Tamandua tetradactyla: one gene and its partner. The protein of the gene in region 1 interacts with the protein of each later gene in a pairwise test. Links are inferred from orthologs where the notes say so. Each region holds a gene or a part of one and is shown in the gene's direction. Other genes may lie near its edges.

Region 1 (7,535 bases):
TTTAAGGGATTTTTTAAAACTCTTTTATTGTATAGTATAACATATACACAAAGCAAAGAAATAAAAAGCAATAGTTTTCAAGACACTCTTCAAAAAGTGATTACAGGACAGATCCCAGAGTTTGTCATGGGCTACCACACAATCCTCTCATGTTTTTCCTTCTAGCTGCTCCAGAATATAGAAAGCTAGAGGGCTTAAATACTTTTTTATCATCACAATCAGCTTTTTTTTCTTCTTCTTTTTTTTTTGTGAACAATAACATATATACAAAAAAGCTATAAATTTCAAAGCACAGCACCACAATTAGTTGTAGAACATATTTCAGAGTTTGACATGGGTTACAGTTTCACAATTTCAGATTTTTACTTCCAGCTCCTTCAAAATACTGCAGACCAAAAGAGATAGCAATTTAATGATTCAGCAATCATATTCATTTGTTAAATCCTATCTTCTCTGTATAAATCCACCATCACCTTTCATCTTTCCATCCCTCTCTTTAGGGTTGTTTGGGCTATGGCCATTCTAAATTTTTGATATTGGAAGGGGCTGTCGCTAACATGGGGTAGGGAGATGGAACTATCTGATGTTCTGGAGAGGCTGGACTAGGTTTCAGGACTTATCCGGATGGGGACTCATCTGGAGGTTGTAGGTTTCTGGAAAATTACTCTAGTGCCTGGAACCCTTGTGGAATCTTATATATTGCCCCAGGTGTTCTTTAAGATTGACTGGAATGGTCCTGGTTGGGGGTTGGCAGGTTATGACAGGTAGCAAGGTCTACCTGAAGCTTGTGTAAGAGCAACCTCCAGAGTAGCTGCTCAACTCTATTTGAACTCTCTCTGCCACTGATACTTTATTAATTACACTTCTTCCCCCTTTTGGTCAGGATGGAATTGTTGATCCCATGGTGCCAGGTCTGGATTCATCCCTGGGAGTCATCTCCCATGCTGCCAGGGAGACGTTCACCCCTGGATGTCGTGTCCCACTTAGGGGGAGGGCACTGATTTCACTTGCAGAGTTGGGCTTAGAGAGACTGAGGCCACATCTGAGCAGCAACAGAGGTCCTCCAGAAGGAACTCTTAGGCATCCTATAGGTAATCTAAGCTTCTCCGCTACCTACAAAAGCTTCACAAGAGTGAGCCTCATTTAATTCTCTTCTGTTGTCTTTTTATTTCTTTTTCTAAATCGATGCAAATGTTCTAAGAAATGATGAATATGCAACTATGTGATGATATTAAGAATTACTGATTGTATATATAGAATGGAATGATATCTTAATGTTTTGTTTGTTAATTTTTTTAATTAATAAAAAAAGTTAAAAAAGAAAAAAAGAGTGAGCCTCATGATCAGGGGCATGGCCTATTGATCTGGGTGTCCCTAATGTTTGACACAGTATCAGGGGATTCCCTGATGGTAAGGTTTAATAGTTCCATAGTCTTTCTCCTCTCCCTCAGGGAACTTTCCCAATACTTTCTGATCATCTGCTCAATTTACTGTAAGATGTTTCCAGGCATTACAATAATCTATACAGAATTAAAGGACCTCTTCCTTATTATGTGCTTTCTATGTTTCAAATGTTCACATGAGCTATACAGATAGGTTGAATTAGATTATGCACTACCAAAAAGTTTAGTTCCAGATCAAATAAATCTTTCTTCCATTGGTCTCAAAGAGCATGTGTTGTTCTAAAATATAAACACTGTCTTCCTTACCCCCGTGTTCTGAATTACTTTAACCCCAACCTTTTCAGCATTGTTCTTTTTTATAAATATCAGGTTATGTATATAAAATAGCCTCTTGAAATTCAGAAATAACAATCACCACTCTGGACTTAATGTGTCTGCTCTAAAAGCTTGCAGTCTAGGTCCCTGTTTTCTTACAGGCATTTTCTTAAGGTGACCATTCCATTGTTGTTCTTTTGTTTCTGGTTTACTTTGTCTCACCAAACGTCCCACATGTTCATTCACATCACTGCATGCCTCACGACGTTGTTTCTTTTTGTAGCAGCACAGCCTTCATTCATAAGTATATATCATAGTTTGCCAACCTACTTCTCCGTCAGTGCATCCTTCAGCCACCTGCATTCATCGGGCATCATGTAGAGGGTTCAGAGTCCACAGTTCATCCACATTCTCAAATTTAGATAATTTCATTGTTCCCAAGAGAAAGAAAACCAATAAATACACCCTCACCAAATAGGAAATCTAAACCTCCTCTTAACTCTTGTCCCCTTCCCCCATTATTTACCTCTGCTGATGCTGTGGTAGTGCTGATGGTTTCCTTTTGAACATAGCTCATAGCATGCAAGAGCAGTTTTCCCCCATACCCTGGACTTAAATACGCTTTGTACAAGAATCATATCTTTGAAGTAATTGTTACGAGAACTGATTCATATTTCCAGTGTGAGTCAGTGGGACACGTAGGTCTATACAACCCCTTTCAATCTTGTTCATCTTCAATATGGTAATATCACTTCTAGACCCCCTTGAGAACCACCTTCCATCCTATCTATTCCCTTTCTTTGGAGCTTTTATTTTTGTGCTTTGTTATGTCTATCATCTCCCTGAGTTCCCATTCATTTTTTTCCATCTTTTTTGCTATTTGCTGTTTTGAGTCTTCGAAGTCAGTTATCCTGTCCTCTACATCCCTTACCCTTTCTTCCATCTCTTCACATCTGGTGTTGCATGCCTCTGCTGTTTTTTATTTGGTCAACAGAGTCTTTAATCCCTGCTATTTTTCTGTTTATTCTTTCAAATTCCTCTTTATGCTCTTCTACCATCTTCTTGAGCTCCTTTATGTCATTTGCTGTCCCACTTATTTTATTTATTAGGGAGAGTTGTGTGAGCATCCTTGGTTAGTTGTTGCAGCCTCTGCATCTCCTCTGGTGTTTCACTTTGGTCATCAGATGGGGCTGCATCTGTCTGCACTGTGATATGCTTGGTGGTCTTTGGCTGTCCCCGTTGCATGTAGATGTCTTGACTGATATACTCTGGGGGTTGATTTTTCAGGAGTCTAAGGCCCTGTGTGTGCAGGACAGCTGCACAGCAGGGAGCAGGGCGCAGGTGGCGCCCTCAGTGCAGGGATCTGTTTCAGGGAAGGTGTGGGAGCAGGCTGGGGACGTTACACCAATGCCTGTGAACACGGCGCCCAGCACCCAGGAAGGATGGAGCTGGGCGGGTGCCCGGGTCTGGGGGCATAACCCTGGTGGGCGCGGGTCCCCTTGTGCGCATGCGGAGAGCTGCAGCCGCAGGTCAGGCCTTCATGGATTGGGGGCAGCTGTGACCCGCTGGACAGGTCGGCCCTTTCTCAAGAGTTGTGTGAGGCGGAGTGCCGTGCGCATGCGCGGTTCTAGGCCTGTGTACCGTGTGTCTCCCAGAAATGAGTGACGTGATGCGGGCTGTGCGCATGTGCAATTGTAGGACCCGCGTAGAGTGCGGTTCCCGGAGCTGTGACGTGAAGCGGCCCGTGCGCATGCGCGGGTCTGGGAGCGCCGCGAACGGCCGCGCCAAGCTCAGGGTGGGTGAATGAGGCTGGAACTCTGTGGGGGGTGGGGGGTGGGGGGGGGGGGGCCTAGGTGGGGGTCAGAGCCCAGCCTTTATGCGCTGGCGTCAGCCTGCAGCGCACAAGGAGGGGAGGGAGGGGAGGCAGGGTCGGAGGGTGCAGGAGAGACTGGCTGGGCTGCGCTGGGGGTGGTGGGGTGGAGGCGCCTGGAGCACGGGGAATGGGGGCGGGTGAGGGGGTGCGGGTGCGTGGGGGGTGGGGGGTGGTCCCGGGTCTGTGCCGGTGAGGGTGGCGCCCAGGGAACGCGGCCCGGCCGACCTCCTGGTCCTGGCTCCCGTGCGGCCCCTCCCGCGGCTCCGTGCCGGCCCGGCCTCCTGCCCCCCAGCCCCCCGGCCTCCTGCCCCCCAGCCCCCCGGCCTCCTACCCCCCAGCCCCCCGGCCTCCTGCCCCCCCAGCCCCCCGGCCTCCTGCCCTCCAGCCCCCTGGCCTCCTGCCCCCCAGCCCCCCGGCCTCCTGCCCCCCCAGCCCCCCGTCCTCCTGCCCCCCAGCCCCCCGGCTTCCTGCCCCCCCAAGCCCCCCGGCCTCCTGCCCTCCAGCCCCCCGGCCTCCTGCCCCCCAGCCCCCCGGCCTCCTGCCCCCCCAAGCCCCCCGGCCTCCTGCCCTCCAGCCCCCCGGCCTCCTGCCCCCCCAGCCCCTCGGCCTCCTGCCCCCCCAGCCCCTCGGCCTCCGCAGCCAGGGCTGCCGCCCCAGGGCAGCCGCCCTCTGGAATTGCCACCTCAGTCATCCTTCTGTCCCTTCTCGACCTTTTCCCTGGAGCAGGGCTGACCTTGAGCCACTCTAGTGGGCCATGCTCCCATTTATTCACCTATCATTTTACTTCTCTAGCGTGGCTCCCTGACATGGAACGTGGTGTCCTGTTTTGTTTTCCCGCACACACGCGTGTGAACGAACGGGTTCTCTCCCTACAGCGGCTCGTCAGGAGGCATCCTCAGTTCCGGGACTGTGCAGGGATGCATCCATGCTGTCTTCTGGGGCCCTCCTGGGCGGCAGGAGGTAGAGACTGGATCTTAGAAAGGAGGGCTGCCCGGCACCCAGCTTTCCCCCATTGCCCGGAGACTGGGGCCGCTTGGCCAGGGTGGTGGTACTTGAGCTGAGGCGCAGGGGGCCTGGCCATGGGCTCAGGTTGGGGCAGAGCAGCCTGTGCAAAGGCCCTGAAGTGGGGTGGCTTCTCCCATGCGGGGGTGCTCAGGAAAGCCGGTATTGCTGGGCAGGGGAACAAGGGGAGTGAGCAGGCTGCCGAGGGCTGCAGAGCTCACGGCAGGAACCCCAAAGCTTGGGTACTACATGTCCATGGGTGGGGGTATGTGTGGATGGGGGGGGTGCATGGTAGGGGTGGGTGGATGATGGCTGGCTGAGTGGAAGAGTGGGTGGATGTGTGAATAGGGGGGAGGGCGGATTATTGGATGGACAGATGGGTGGATGGGTGGGGGGTGAGTTGGGTGGACCAAGGAGCCAGGGAGTGACAAGGTGGGGTTTGTTCCTCAACCCCAGTACCCCCTAACTCCTCCTCTGCTGGCCCCCCAGAGAGGCCCGTCCAGAACTCCCAGCGGGGGCAGCTTCGGCACTGTCTGTCACAGCCCCCTCCCCAGTCGAGCCTCCCCCGAGGGCTGCCCAGGGCCTGTGCCCCCTACTTGGTGGCACCCCTGTTCCACAGCCAGGGTCTCCTGTGGCATAGGGACCCCCAGGAGCTGGGCGCCCCTTGGAGGAAGGCGTGGGGGCACAGTGAGGGCGCCTACCTGTCTCAGGGGCCATCCCTGGCTCAGCTCTGGGAGCCCCCCAGGAAGACGGGGTGGCCCACTGCTCCCCAAGCCCTGCACATTGGCTCGTACCCCACCCCGTTCCTCCCCCTCTAGGCCTGGTGCCTGGTTTGGGGTCACGTGCCCAATTGCCCAGGCCCCCTGAGAAAGACCAGGGCCCCCACACCCCTGAACAGGGTTTGAGAGGACCTACAGCTCCTCCTCTCCCCAGCTTGCTCCTTACCAGTGGAGGGCACCTCCAGAATGATAGGGACACCCCAAGAGCTCGGCCCAGGCTGGAAATGGAAGCTGGGGGATCCCCAGGTCATGAGGACGGGCTGGCCTTCCCCTTTCTGGCCTCCCTCCCCTTGGTCCCCTTTTCTTTAGGGTTTTGCTATAACACAGAATTGAAGAGCTCTGGGGAGCAGGGACCTCAGTTCCTGGAATTCTGCCAGCCTAGGTTCTGGGTTCCTCAAGATTTAGCAGGGATGCACAGGCCCCAGGCTGAGCCCACCCACGCAGTACCCTGCACTCCTTCTCTGGTGGTGGGCCCTCTGCTCCTGCCCCACCCCCAGCCTCGTTTTCCCCCCCAGGCCCAGGCCTGGCTGAAGCTCCCAGTCAAGTTTAGCAGGGGACCCTGCATCTCCCGTCGCCAAGCCATGGTCCTGGGCCTGAGCAGGGGTCTGTCAGCTGCCGGGAACCTCCTGGCGGAGCGCAAAGCAGTAGGATTTGAACCCAGGCCCTCCCCCCGGGCGTTTCCCCACACGTACGGCGCCTGAGGACTTCCTCCTCCCCCTTCCCTCGGGGCCCCTCCCTGGCGCTGGGGGCCTGTGATTTCCCTGGAAGCAGCTGTTTCCGTCCCACGCCAGGCTTGGAATTTCAGAGATAAAGGAGCAGGGCCCAGGGCCTCCGAGGGGAGGAAGGGCGGGGGGTGGAGGCCCGGGGGTGGGAGCCAGAGCTCAGGGCCCAGCGGAAGGACGATGTACCTTGCATGGAGCGTCTGAGCCAGCCCAGCTTTCACAGCCTCTGCAAAAAACCCAGGTTGGCGCCAAATCACACGCAGCAGCCAGAGACTCACCTCCAAGTGCCAACTCAGATCATGCCCCTGCCCTGCTCAGACGCCTCCTGTGGCTCCCCAGTTCTCTGAGCACACACCCCTCGCTGGGTCCAGCTCCCAGAGCCCCTCACCCTTGACTCTCCCTGCTCCGGCTGCTCGGGCCTCCTCGGTGCCTTTCCCTGGGACCCACCCCGTCCCCAGCCACCCTCGTTTTTCCCTGCCCCCCCTCCCCCATCCCCTGTCCTTTCCTTCACAGAATGCCCCCAGAAGTCTTTGCATCGCTCCCGTGTTCATTTGCTGTCGCCTGGGACAGGGTAGTAAACACGAGTACAATGAACCAACAGGCCCCTTTTTTACAGAGGAAGAAACAGAGGCTCAGGGAGGCCCCCTGTGCATTCGTGGGGAAGGGCCAGTGGGAATCCTTGAGTCTGAGCCCAGATGGCAGCAGCTCTGCCTCCAGCCAGGTAAAAGCTCCCTGCTCCTCCAGGGAAACAAGACTCCAGAGGCCGCGGGAGCAGGGGGCCGTGGCCTCCCACACCCGGTTCCAGGCCCAGCGTTGCCTCTGGCTGACCTTTACCTGGGGGAAGCTGCCTTCCAGACCCATGTGCGGTGGTGAGCAAAGGCTCTGAGGCCAGGCCGGGTGGTTCGGCTGATCCCGAGGGGCCACGGAAGGTGCCGGAGCCGATGACAGGGGCTCCTGGGGGGGGTGCCGGGGGGGCGGTGAATCCTCCCTTCCACAGACCGAGGGAGCAGGCGGCAGCGGCTGAGTCACCCAGGCCCAGCTCCCTCCCGGGAGAACAGTTGGTGCCCCGTGGCCTGTGTGGGCCCCACCCGTTGGGAACCCAGCCCCCGCGCCCCTCCGTGCCTCCCTCCCCACCCCTGGCTGTCTCTTCCCCAGCTGCTCCCTTCAGGCCGCAGAAGGTAAGTGGGAGAGGCGAGGGCAGGCTGCTCTCCCGGGCACCCAAGGCCAAGGGCCCAGCATGAACGGCGGCTGCCCGAGCCTCACAACCTCTGCCTGGAGGGGGAAACTGAGGCTCAGAGAGTGTCAGGGTCTGCACACCCTGTTCTCTCCCGAGGACGCAAACCCTGCCCACTATGTCTCTCTCTCTCCCCAGCTCCTAATCTTGCTGTGGCTACCCACCACCCTTGGCATGAAAACTCACCTTGCTACAGCCCAGAGGGCC
Region 2 (7,423 bases), on another chromosome or scaffold:
ACAAACAGAGAGAATAAGTGATTATAATGTATTTCACCCTTTAAAAGTCTAACAAAGATCTACATAAAAGGCTTTTAGAGAGCTTTAGTCATATTGGCACATTAGGGAAATGTTTCTTTTTAAAGAATGGGGATCTGGCTTAGAGGTGGATAACAAAGATAGGGAGATACTGTCCATTTGCATGGGAAAGCACAAATTGTAACGTTCTCCAGGGTGGGACTTTGGGCTTAACAATAAGCATTCTTAAGAATGACCTGTACATTGTAATGTACAGCCTAGTGAATTTTCTAAATTATTCTTCTAGTTCATCAGGAGACTAGGCATATTGGCTAAAAAGTGATAAATGATCCTATTGTGCGCAAGTGTGAAATATTGAGGAAAAAAACATAAATTTTACTTGTAAGGTGATGATCTCAGTTATTACTGTGGACTGCTTTCTGAAATTATGAACCAAGTTTGCTAGTGTAACAAAATGACAATAACAGGCTGGGTATCATAAAGTAGGTGTTTTAGAAATAACTTGGAAACATCACCTAGAACTTGAACAAAACTGGCAGGTGTGCACATACCAGAAATACTGGGTGTCCGTCTTAATATGATACTAGATATTAGAAGATAGATTATATTCTCATGTAGAATATTAGAACTCAAAAGCAATCTCAAAGATTGACAGTAGTTGGCAGAAAATCAGAAGTATCTACTGCATCTTGTTTGTAGTACAAAATGGAAGGCTGTCTCTCTCTAAGCGAACTCGGCAGGTGAACTCACTGCCCTCCCATTACTTGAGACATAACTGCCAGGGGTGTAAATCTCCCTGACAAGATGGGACAGAACTCCTGGGATGAGCTAAGATCCAGCATCAAGGGATTGAGAAAGCCTTCTTGACTAAAAGTGGGGAGAGAGAAATAAAATAAAGTTTCAGTGGCTGAGAAATTTCAAACAGAAGTGAGAGGTTAGTTTATAGTGTATTGGAGTGGCTAGAAAATGAAAGTATTGAGCTGTGTCCAGTAGCCTTTATTTTTTTATTTTTTATTAATTAAAATAAAAAAAATATGACAATAAAAAAACACATTCTTAACATATGATCATTCCATTCTACATATATAATCAGTAATTCACAATATCATCACATAGTTGCATATTCATCATCATGATCATTTCCTAGAACATTTACATCAATTTAGAAAAAGAAATAAGACAACAGAAAAAAAATTCATACATACCATTACCCCTCCCTTTCATTGATCACTAGCATTTCAATCTAAGTTTATTTTAACATTTGTTCCCCCTATTATTTTTTTTTATTCCATGTTTTACTTGTCTGTTGATAAGGTGGATAAAAGGGGCATCAGATACAAGGTTTTCACAATCACACAGTTACATTGTGAAAGCTTTATCATTATGCAATCATCTTCAGGAAACATGGCTACTGGAACACAGCTCTACATTTTCAGACAATTCCCTCCAGCCTCTCCATTACATCTTGACTAACAAGGTGATATCTACTTAATGCATAAGAATAACCTCCAGGATAACCTCTCAACTCTGTTTGGAATCTCTCAGCCATTGACACTATTTGTTTCATTTCGCTCTTGCCGCTTTGGGTCCAGAAGGTTCTCTCAATCCCTTGATGCCGAGTCTGAGCTCATTCTAGCTTTTTCTTAACTCCTTGATGCTGAGTCTCAGCTCATTCTAGGATTTCTGTCCCACTTTGCCAGGAAGGTCCACACCCCTGGGAGTCGTGTCCCATGCAGACAGGGGAGGGCAGTGAGTTTGCTTGTCATGTTGGCTGGAGAGAGAGGCCACATCTGAGCAACAAAAGAGGTGCTTTTGGGGGTGACTGTTCGACCTAATTTTATGTAGACTTGACCTATCCTTTGTGGGGTTAAGTTTCATATGAACAAACCCCACGATTGGGGGCTCAGCCTATAGCTTTGGTTGTCCACACTGCTTGTGAGAATATCAAGAATTCAGCTTGGGGAAGTTGAATTTTCCCCCTTTCTCACCATTCCCCGAAGGGGACTTTGCAAATAAAATGCATTGCAGAGTGTTCAAATCACTCTGGGTTTTATCAGGGCATCTAGTAGGCTTGATTTTTGAATACGACTGTATACGACAACTTTTACAATGTGACTGTGCAATTGTGAAAGTGTCTGATGCTCCTTTTATCCAGGTTATGGAAAGATGAGTAAAAAAATATGGATAAAATAAATAGAAGGGATAAGGGGTAAAATAAATTGTATAGTTGGAAATACTAGTGGTCAATGAGCGGGGGGGGGGGCGGGTAAGGGGTATGGTATGAGCTTTTTTTTTTTTTTGGAGTGATGCGAATGTTATAAAAAATGATCATGGTGATGAATATACAACTGTGTGATAGTATTATAAGACACTGATTGTACACCATGTATGGAATGTGTGTGTGAAGATTTGTCAATAAAAATAAAAAAAAACAAGAACAAAACCCAGAAGGCTGAAAATAGGGGTTTAGTTTTAGGCACGTCGTAGGTAATTTATATTTGTGAAGCCCATATAATCCTGATTTCCTCATCTTTTGAACCCAATAGTTAATGTAACACCTACACCATTCCCTTTTCTCATTCCTGTTGTTCGATATTTATGGGCATCCACACGAGATTTTTCACCTGAGCTCATGAAAACGTTCGGTGGACTTTCAATGTTTATTTAGCCCTGTCTTACCACTAGTCTCCCCAGCAGGGGTACTTTTGGGCACTCCCACTTTCTGGGTACCACTGGGTTACGGTGGGGGTATGCACTAAAATCCCTGAGTTCAAAGTCTCTCAAAGTTCAGTAGCAAAAGAGGGAGAGGACACACAATCCTTTCCTCTAATATTCTTTGCTGGGTACCAAAGTAGTAACTGTACCCCACTGTCTTGGAAATTTTGGTAGAAACAATTCTTTTCGGTTCTCACAGCTCCAGTGGAAAACTCAATGGTAGAACCCATCAGTCTGTCCGCAGAATTTCTCCTGTCTTTTCATGGGTGAGGTTTTGCTTCAGGGTCAAGCTTCTGGTGCCAGGCTACCTTTCTCCCTAGGGAGAAGCTCCTGAGAGGAGTCACTATCCCTTAAGGAGTAGTCTTGCGCAGGACTGGGCTCCATCTGGGCTACCGTAGGCTTTAGGGGGAACCATTCATTTAATCTTTTCAAAAAAGTTTAGGTATCGTGACAAACTCCGGGGCGACACACAGGACGTGACTTACGTGGTACTTCTAATGGAAAGGTTTTAAATGATTTTTTTTAGATGAACGATTGCGAGACACGCAAGGAAACCTCCAGTTTTGCAGAAACCTTAAAGCTCTATAGAGTGGCGAAATGCCAGTGGAATAAACGCTATGAGTATAGTGGATAGTGAGTAAAAACTTGAAGAAATGATGCCAAGAGGAATTAGTACTAGAATTTCAGGTATTCTAACTAAATCTAAACACTCCATTCATTAGACCAAGGGATGAGGTTCCGTAGGATCCCAATGCCAGCTCCGATACATCGTTCGTTTGGAGAACATTTTGAATTTTTCTCTTCTCCCTTTCCGGCTTTCCCCGACACAGGCTGTGACTTTGTCCACGACCCCTACCAACATTTAAAGGGGAAGACTCTGAAAACAAGGCAAAGTAAGGGGGACTTTGCGTCTGTATTTCTCAAACCCGTCAAGGGAGAGCAGTAAAGGATAAGGGGCGTGCAGTCTACTTCTGCCTCGCCCAATCAGGTGCACAGGAAGATGCCCTTTCACCAATAAAAATAAAGTTCGCTTTCCGGAGGCGGGAGGGCAAGCCTTGACTGCCAGTTTTTCTAAGCAACGATGGAGGAGAGGACAGAGAATGATTAGCGGTAGGACCAACCCGGTAAAGGGGGAGAGGGAGGGGTGGGGATAATTCTGAGCGGCATCTAGACTGGCCAGTCGAGGACAAGGGTTGCTGTTCCTGGTGTAGTCATTCCCGCCAATCAGGAAGGCGAGGGGTGGGCGGGGCGGAGAAGAGGTGGGAAGATCTCGCTGCACCGCCGGGCGGCCGTCGGGTTCTGGGAGAGAGGGAGAGAGAGAGAGAGGGAGAGAGAGAGAGGGAGAGGGAGAGGGAGAGAGAAAGAGAGAGGGAGAAATCCGGTTAAAATCTGAGTCCGAGGGAGGTTTAACCACAGATCGGTTCCGATCGGATTATTCCTTAAAGGGGACGCGCCATTGTCAAGAGATCGGAGCCTAGGCGGCCCAAGGGCGGGGACCGGCGGCGCCTGAGGAGCGAGGCAGCTGCACTTGGACTGGGGACCGGTAGGTGTTGCCTGGGGAAAGGCGCTTCATTTCACTTTCTCTTCCAGCCCTGGGGCAGGCGCTGGGATGCTCGCCGGCCGGCGTCCGCAGCCCCTGCAGGAGTCGAGGTCGCCGGCCCTCGGGCGGCTGCCCTTCTTGTGGAAGCTGAGAGGGAGGCGGGCTAGGGTGGCTGGCGGGCCATGCTGCCTGGGGCCGAGACTCAGAACGGATACGGGTCGGCGGCGCACCCCCGCCTCAACCGATAACCCACCGGAGCGACGGCGGGTTCGCAGGCAGCGCAGCGCGCCCCTCGCGCGCTTCCTTTCCCTCGCGCGCCCCCTTCCCCTGGCGCGCCCGCCTCTCCTCGCGCACCCGGTTCCCCTCCCGCGCCGGCCGCCTCCAGCTCGGCGCTCTCTTTGCTCTCTCCGCCTTCTCGCGGATTCGCGGGAACCGCCTCTCCTGGAAGCAGGCGGCGGCGGAGAGACGGAGGGAGGTTGGGGGCCACAGCTTCTGTGCCGGGACCCTGAGAGGAGGGTTGAAGAGCAAATTTAGCGCGGTGGCCAGTAGCCCAGGCTGGAAGGGGCGGTGGGGGCCGGTGGAGCGCGCGGAGTCGCCGGTTCGGCTTTGTCCCCCCTTTCCTTTGCTCTGGTCTCCGCCCACTGTTCGCGGCCGTAGGGAGGGGTGCAGGCGAGGTCGCTGTATCCGCGTCGCTTCGGGCCCGGCCGCGCACCCCCGGACCTTATCAAGCCAGGATTGGTCAAGACGGACACCCAAGCCACAGCTGCCGGCCTGACCGGCCTGTCTTGGCTGCTCTCATCTCAGCACCCGCGCAGGCTGCCTGGACGCTGAGCTCCTGCAACTTTTCTCTGTCTTTTGATGGAAGTTGTTGCTTCCGGGCAGCAGGTTTTTGGGGTTATAGTTTCGTGTCCTTCATTTCTGGAGGGACTCATTTTAGGGCGAAATGGTTTGTGATTGCTGTCAATCTACTCTACCATCTCAGTTTTCGTTACTAGCCCCTTAAAATCGCACCTTTTGTGGATTTGCCATTATATGGAATCATTAACCTCTCCCAAACCAAGCTAATGTGAAAAGAAAAAAAGGGGAGGTATTTGTGGGGGACCAGAGTTCTAGGTAGGGCCGTATTTGCCTTACTTAACCTTTGAACTGTGAAAATATTACCTGGTTTCACTAGCGGAGGTTCTTTTTGAAGGCGAGGATTAAAAGAAACAGGTTGCTACGCTCAGTAGGATTAGGAAAAAAAGACTTGATGGAAAAAAAATTTGGCTTTGTAAAATGATGTTCTGCTAGCAGATATCTCCTATAAAGTTAATTTCTGCTGCTGAATTCCTAGGCATTATAATTCGTAATTGCAGCTTTTACTATTGATAAAACAAGTATGAGGTTTTTCATCTTGGACATTATACTGTACCATACCTGTCAGTACTTGCTATAGAAATATTTAGAATAGCACATCACTTGGTTAGAGACCTTATTTAGAAAAGGAATGTTTTTGTAATCATTCACTTTTGACAGTTTCTTCTTGTGCAATACTTTGTACAGTACTTACATATACAAGATACAGCCTTGCAAACGAAGTAGCAATGGGTATGTTATTCTGCAGTCTTTTGTTTGCTACTCATTATCAAAAGCAGCATTCCACTTTGTCCTTTCCTTCTCTGTGAGTTATTTTGTATGATTACTTCTCTAGAAGAATGGATTTTGTTGGAACACCTGGCCAGTGTTTTCAAATAAGTTTTTTTAAAGCAATACTAACAACTTCATAAAGTGTTCATTGATTAACTCACTGTCTAGTAACTTTCAGAGTGGTATGGCACATTCTCATAATTTAAGTTGTTAGGCTCATCAGTAATGACAAAGATGAAACTAAGGAAACTGATAACTAATTTCAGATACATGTTTGAAATATATTTTAGCTTCACAGAATTCAAGAAATGCAGATACACAAAAACATGACCTTTTGTAGTAATCTTCATAGTATCTTGCATTGTTACACCTGATATTCCTTTTCTTAAATTCTTTTTTTGTGATAAGGATGTTGGGTGAGTTCCCAAGCACAATCTTCCTGTCCAACTCATTATACAAAGTAGAAGTTGAAAACAAGTTTACAACTTTTTATCTTTGCTTGCTAATTTACCAGCTTATTTAAATAACAGAGGAGAGAATTACTAAACCTTTACAACAGTACATATGATAGTGTTACAGAAAACATTCAGGGAGAATTATCTGTGAAATATCTAGACTATGTTTCCTGGATGACATTTTATTCTGTGTGCTTTTCACATTGTTTTGTACACTTTTTTTTTTTTTAAAAATGTGTACATTGTCAAGACATTTCTTGAGTTGTGAACTGTCTATTTCTCTCCTGATTCACTTGTCACTGAGTACCTTTCTCATACCCAATAAATGTGTTGTTTCAGGTTTTACATTTGTGTTATAAAAAGGTAGTCTTCTACAAAAGCTCCTTGTTCAGAGAGGTATTTATTCTCTTAAATATCTCTCTGAACAAGTTACACGAAAGAATAGCAATTAGTTCACTGTCTGGGAGGAGATATATTAATCTAGATGCTCTTTGTTCTGTGTACAAATTTGTGATTTAACTGTTTATTGTATCTCTTCCACAAAAATCTTTTGTGATGGTGATTGCTTATTGTGACAGTTTTATTAGAACTAAGTTTAATCTGTCAACAAAATCTTTTGAGTACCCATTTATTTAAGGAATATTGTGGGAAGATAAAGTAGAAGTGGATGGCAGTCATTGCTCTCAGACTGGTACAGTTTAACAGGAAGATGCAAAATTGTTATCTAGAGGAAAAAGACCATGCATGTGCCCTTAAAAACTATTAACTATAAAGAAGTTTAAATTTATGTGTTAAAGGAAGAAATAAAATGTTTTTTTCCTTTTCACCAAAACTTCACTGTAAAAAGTTTACCTGAAAGAATTGCATAATTTAGAAATTAGTGTCCTATAACACTGCCCTTGTCATATTGTAACTATTGTTAATCGTTTGGTGTTTCTTTTTCTAGTTTTTTTTTTTCCTTTTTTCACCTTCAGATAGAACTGACTTAAACTGTCTCTTGTACATAAAAGTTTGAATTAGTGAATCTGCATCCTGGGAATGCAGAACTATAATACATTTTTCTATACTT

What was found.
Region 2: the proteins of HOMER3 (region 1) and FRYL interact in binary tests that used the Homo sapiens proteins (3 or more experiments, as listed by UniProt). The two-hybrid records come from large-scale screens. The link is inferred for Tamandua tetradactyla from reciprocal best matches to the Homo sapiens genes HOMER3 and FRYL.

The regions. Positions count from the first base shown.
Region 1 is NC_135337.1:95,885,386-95,892,920, forward strand, and holds the start of HOMER3 (homer protein homolog 3), read left to right. Parts: upstream 1-4,250; 5' UTR 4,251-6,963; exon of another isoform or gene 6,964-7,466; 5' UTR 7,467-7,535. UniProt on the Homo sapiens protein: Postsynaptic density scaffolding protein. Binds and cross-links cytoplasmic regions of GRM1, GRM5, ITPR1, DNM3, RYR1, RYR2, SHANK1 and SHANK3.
Region 2 is NC_135345.1:51,598,932-51,606,354, reverse strand, and holds the start of FRYL (protein furry homolog-like), read left to right. Parts: upstream 1-4,007; 5' UTR 4,008-4,276; intron 4,277-7,423. UniProt on the Homo sapiens protein: Plays a key role in maintaining the integrity of polarized cell extensions during morphogenesis, regulates the actin cytoskeleton and plays a key role in patterning sensory neuron dendritic fields by promoting avoidance between homologous dendrites as well as by limiting dendritic branching.